2 linked regions of the Coturnix japonica genome follow. The protein of the gene in region 1 binds, or shares a complex with, the protein of each later gene. Links are inferred from orthologs where the notes say so. Each region holds a gene or a part of one and is shown in the gene's direction. Other genes may lie near its edges.

What was found.
Region 2: LSM11 (region 1) and LSM10 share a complex: the UniProt entries of both Homo sapiens proteins name them as parts of the heptameric ring U7 snRNP complex. The link is inferred for Coturnix japonica from reciprocal best matches to the Homo sapiens genes LSM11 and LSM10.

What each region holds. Positions count from the first base shown.
Region 1 is NC_029528.1:13,018,729-13,021,356, reverse strand, and holds part of LSM11 (U7 snRNA-associated Sm-like protein LSm11), read left to right. Parts: intron 1-90; coding exon 91-495; 3' UTR 496-2,628. UniProt on the Homo sapiens protein: Component of the U7 snRNP complex that is involved in the histone 3'-end pre-mRNA processing. Increases U7 snRNA levels but not histone 3'-end pre-mRNA processing activity, when overexpressed. Required for cell cycle progression from G1 to S phases.
Region 2 is NC_029538.1:3,591,270-3,593,728, forward strand, and holds LSM10 (U7 snRNA-associated Sm-like protein LSm10), read left to right. Parts: upstream 1-975; 5' UTR 976-1,083; intron 1,084-1,347; 5' UTR 1,348-1,354; coding exon 1,355-1,726; 3' UTR 1,727-1,844; downstream 1,845-2,459. Other genes in the region: protein OSCP1, read left to right, coding at 78-217, 700-763, 850-966. UniProt on the Homo sapiens protein: Appears to function in the U7 snRNP complex that is involved in histone 3'-end processing. Increases U7 snRNA levels but not histone 3'-end pre-mRNA processing activity, when overexpressed. Required for cell cycle progression from G1 to S phases.

The sequences.
Region 1 (2,628 bases):
GGACCGTGTACTGAAATACCATACAGAAGTGCAGAACAAAAGGCTTTCCTTGTTTTATGAGTGGTCACATACAGAAATGTTCCTTTACAGCTGTTTGACAGACTCAAGCTTCAGGATGCCTCTGTGAAGAAGGGAGCTGACTCAAAGACTGTATCAGGGGAGCTAGCCCTGACAAGTGACTCTCAAACACCTGGATGGAAAGTTGGATCAGGACGAGGGAGAGAAGAAGATGAACGTGAGAAGCAGAAACGCTTGGGCAGAGGTGGAGAAAAGAAGGTGCCAGGAGACAGTTTGCATTCAGCTGTCAGAGGTGAAGCTGATGTGGGCAGCGGGACTGCTCACACAGTGGGTGCCACTGCTGGTGGTACCCGCACGAGGAGCCAGGCACGGAGAAAAAGGAGGCCCAAAGTGGATTATCAACAGGTGTTCACACGTCACATAAACCAGATTTTTATTCGAGGAGAGAACGTCTTGCTTGTCCATTTAGCTCATTGACTTGGCTGAGCCTTCGTCAGTGTATTTATTTGATAGCATGACTTGCTGTGGTAGCCCTCATTACTATTTAGCATTCTTGTGAGTATGGTACTGTGACAGGTTTCCCACTGCCATAACAAGGGAAGGGAAGTAATTCTAATAGGAGTATCCTGAGCTTACTGCCAAAGCAGCTTCCTTCAGTCTCTGCTGGGGGCCACAGGGTGAGGTCAGCAGCACAGTTTTACTCTGTGAGATGAGGGAGACGAGCACAGAGCCCACTGCTTAAAAAGTGAACAGCTAAGTCAGGAAGGTTGGTAGAGAATGTAATGCTCTGTGGGATGGAAAACCTCTCAGTTGAAGACTGTTCTTCTCCTGTTAATGATTGTGAGGATTTAATCTGTTTTCAGTGTCAAAGCTGATGCTTCTATTTGTAGTGCTGTGCTTTCGCCATGCATCACCAGCAAGCAGCTCATAGAGCTGATGGAGGGACCTCCACGTTTGGAGGACCCATCTCTAAATGCTGTGGATGCATATGGAAAACTGTACTTCTCTCTTTCATTTGCTTCCCGTTGCAATAGCAATATCTGCAAAGTTGTGCTTTTCCTTCTCAGATAGAAGTGTTCGTGCTGAGCACTTCATGCTGTATCTAAGCGCCTTTAAGTTCCCTCTGTTGAAACTAGAGGTGCTCTGTCTCCAGCTGTTCTCATGGAGCAGAAATTGTCATGGCTCTTCCCTATCTGTGTAAAAGTTAAACTCGGCTCATGACAGATCAGGCCGGGCTTCTGTGTATATAAACTGCTTCCCGAGAGCTATGTACAAAAGTTTGAGGTAAATAATGCTGTTAAATTACTTAGTCTGTTCTTCTGGATGGCAGAGGATGCTGGATTTCACGCTACTGTTTCAGTTTTCATACCAAATACCTTCTGATCCCAGCAGCTGTGGTGTGAAGATGTGAAACTGCCAGGACAACAGATAAAGCAGCTTTCTAGTGCTTTATAACAGGTCTTGTATTGCGTACAGAGGTCACAAGTCCTCAGGCTGAGCGAGTGTCCTCTTGAATGATGGATTTCTATTACACCAAATGCAGCATATTGCTTGTCGTTAGGGGTATGTCTGGTGCTTGGGTGAAAAGTTATTTAGCAGGAGCTCCTGGACATGCAGAGCAGCTTTACGCCTCTGGGGGAGCCTGAACCTTTTATGTCAGCATTTCAGATGAGGTGGGGTTGGATGATCAGCGCAGCCACTGAGAAGCAAATCAGAGTTCGGACTGGGACAAAAGTACCTCAGATTAAGAAGTATTGTATTGTTCCCACCTCCTGTTGTGCTGTTGTTGGTGTTGATGTGGTTGGCTATTCCCTCACGTGCAGTTTCCTTCTCCTTTCAGCAGTTTCTCTCCCCAGGATGTTCCTTTCTAACTCCAGTTTCAGAACATTGATCTCCTTACCCCTGGTGGCTCTTTCTGAACCTTTCCTGGTTGCCTTTCCTTGTACTTGCCAGCTGAACAGAATCCTCACAAATGATTTGCATATGGAGCTAGAAACAAGGAACTTCTTTCTGCTCCTGACGTCTCAGCAACTTTCATTACAAATTACTGTTTTTCTTCATTTTGTTTTCAGTTGTGTTTCTCTCTCCTCCAGTTTCTAACTAGTTTATTTCAGCTGCATGGGCCGTCTCTGCCTCTTCCATTCATGAATGCCAAAGGCTGCTGGTTTGACACCTCTCCCTTTTCTCTCATAGTTGACCAAAGGGTATTTGTTATATCTCCACTCAGGCCTACGTGTCGATACCCCATTCAATTCTTGTGGATTATCTTTCTAACCTCATATCCATATTTCTCTTTGTCTGCCTATTTCATCCTTTCTTATGCATTAAATAAGATACATCTGCCTTGAGTGTTTGTTCAGCTTTTGTGCCACTGACAGACACTCCATCACTTTCTACAGCAAATCTCAGTGTTTCCTTTCATAAAAGGTTTTTCTTGCAATCTTACAAGTGTTTGTTGTTTCACATCTGGTCATTTCTGTTTCTAGATTCCCTGACAAATTCCGGTGCTCACACTTGCGTTGGTGCCTTGATTTTTATATAGCCGACCTGTTCTTCCACAGTCATCACCTCAGGCCACAAACCTGGTTAAGAACTATACCATGTTATTTT
Region 2 (2,459 bases), on another chromosome or scaffold:
ATATGAGAATATAGTAGCTTTGTTAGTCCTCTTCTTCCTGGTAACCTGACCAATGAACCCATTGCTGTTTTCTGCAGGAGAATATAACCCCTAACCCTCTTGCTAAAGAAGAACTGAACTTCTTGGCCAGGCTGCTGGGAGGTCTGGACATCAAGAAACCTAGTGGCAGTGAGACAGGATTCCGACTGAATTTATTCATGACAGATGAAGAAGAAGAGTATGATGCAGCTGGTTGTGGTCTGGGGGTTGTGATTTAATGATACGTGGACAAAACCTGGAGGCTGAAGCTGATCCTTAACAGCTTTAATACTGCCTTCAGGTGATGCTGGGGCACTGACAGTCTGGTGTGTGCCTTCAGCACCCTTAGCTTTCCTGTCCTACAGTCACTTCAGAGAGATGCAATAAGTGAAGGGAGGTGAGGAGGCAGATAGGCTGGAGCACTGCAGCCCCCTCCTGGCAGGGAGACGTTTCCACTGCTTTACATTTAGCATCAGAAAACCCAAAGCAGGGTTCAGTCTCCAAAATGGGATCAGCATCCTAGTTTGCCTGCTAGAAACAGCAGTGCTGTCTAAATTTCTCATAGGTACGAGTCGCTTACCACCTTCTTGCATGGACCATTGAAAAACACTACTGACCTGTGGAACGGGTGGGATGTGACAGGATGGCACCACATTAAGCACTCTATATTTTCAATTAAAGGCAGGCGGCGCTGACAAGACCCGAGGAGTTCTCATACAAGGTTGTGAACATTGAAGCCACCGAGGTACGTTCAGCTGCAATTCACATACATTCAAACTACTACGATAAGAGCTTTATTTATCGCCTGGCTGAGCCTTTATCTCTACTCAGGAGCCGGCGAGGAGAGCGGAGCTGGATCGAATCATGGGCGACCTGCAGGTGGCGGAACAGTGCGAGGAGAGCTGCGGGAAGGGAGAGGACCTGCTGGCTCTGATGGACGGGTTGTGAGCCATTAAAGGCGTTTCTTCCATCCTGCCTCCGAGCCGACGAGTGGGGCGGGGACGAACGGGGAGGGATCAAGCGGGGCAGCGAGAAACAGGGGCCGCCCCTTCATGTTGCCGGGCGGTGAGTGGGATGGGGGCTAAAAGTGGGGTGAGGGAGCTGCGGGGGTGAGTGTGGGTTTTGGGTGGGGGTCTGAATGTGTGGGGTGGGAGTTGTGTGAGTGCATAAAGGGGGTGGGGGCACCCCTGTGTGCAAAGGGGGGGATGTGATGAGCACTGGGCGTGCAAGGGGAGGAGGCAGGCGATGGAGCTGCCATGCTGGTGTGTATATACACGAGTCCTGCAGGTGGAGGTGCTGGTGGTGCATCTCCCCATTCATATGCTGCAGCCCCACCATGGAGGTCAGCCACTCAGTCAAGGAGCGCACCATCGCCGAGAACAGCCTGGTGATCCTGCTGCAAGGTCTGCACGGCCACGTCACCACCGTGGATCTCCGCGACGAGAGCACGGCCACGGGACGAGTGTCCAACGTCGACGCCTTCATGAACATCCGCCTGGCCCAGGTGACGTTCACGGACAGACGAGGGGAGGTGTCGCAGCTGGACGAGATGTTCGTGGCGGGCAGGAACGTGCGCTACGTGCACATCCCGGATGGGGTGGACATCAGGGCCACCATCGAGCGGCAGCTGCAGGCCATCCACCGCGTGCGCTACTTCGGGGGCCGCGACAAGGGCAGGAGGGAGTTCCCTCGAGCCAAGCACAAATGAGCCCCATTCCTCAATCAACAGCCCAGCTTGGAAGCTCCATCCCTGTGTAATGGCAGCTACTCCTTTATCCCTGTCCTTATGTTTTTCCAGCTCTCAAACAAAGCCCTTTTGGCCTCAGTGCTTGGCTCTGCAGTGATCATTGCCTATAGGCTCTATAGGGCTGCCAGCTACTCCTCCATCCCTCTCTTTATGTATTTCCAGCTCTTAAAGCCCTTTTGGCCACACTGATCATTGCCTACAGGCTCTATAGGGCTGGCAGCTGCTCCTTTATCCCTCTCCTTATGGATTTCCAGCTCTTAAAGCCCTTTTGGCCTCAGTGCTCGTTGCCTATAGGCTCTATAGGGCTGTATCTATAGCTCCTGGGGCCTGGCTGCCTGCATGGGCCTGGTCTGAGGGTGGGCAGTGGGCAGTGCATGGGGTACTGCCATCATGGCGTCCATCTTAAGGCCTAGCACCACGCATGGGGGCGGTGGAGCAGTGCGCATGCGCGGGTGGGAGGGGGCGGGCCTTGAGGTGTTTCTCTTCCAATCAAAGCGCGGATAACATCCCGCCCGCCGACCAACCCGCTCACACAGCATGCACCAATCAACGGAGAGAGTTATCTCTCATCAGCCAATCAATCATCACCACTCAGCCAATTAGTGCTCGCCTCCCATCACTCTATCAACACCCCTCTCGCAGCCAATCACATCCGGGCGCTGCTTCAGCTATCCAATGAGCGCCGCCGTTCCTT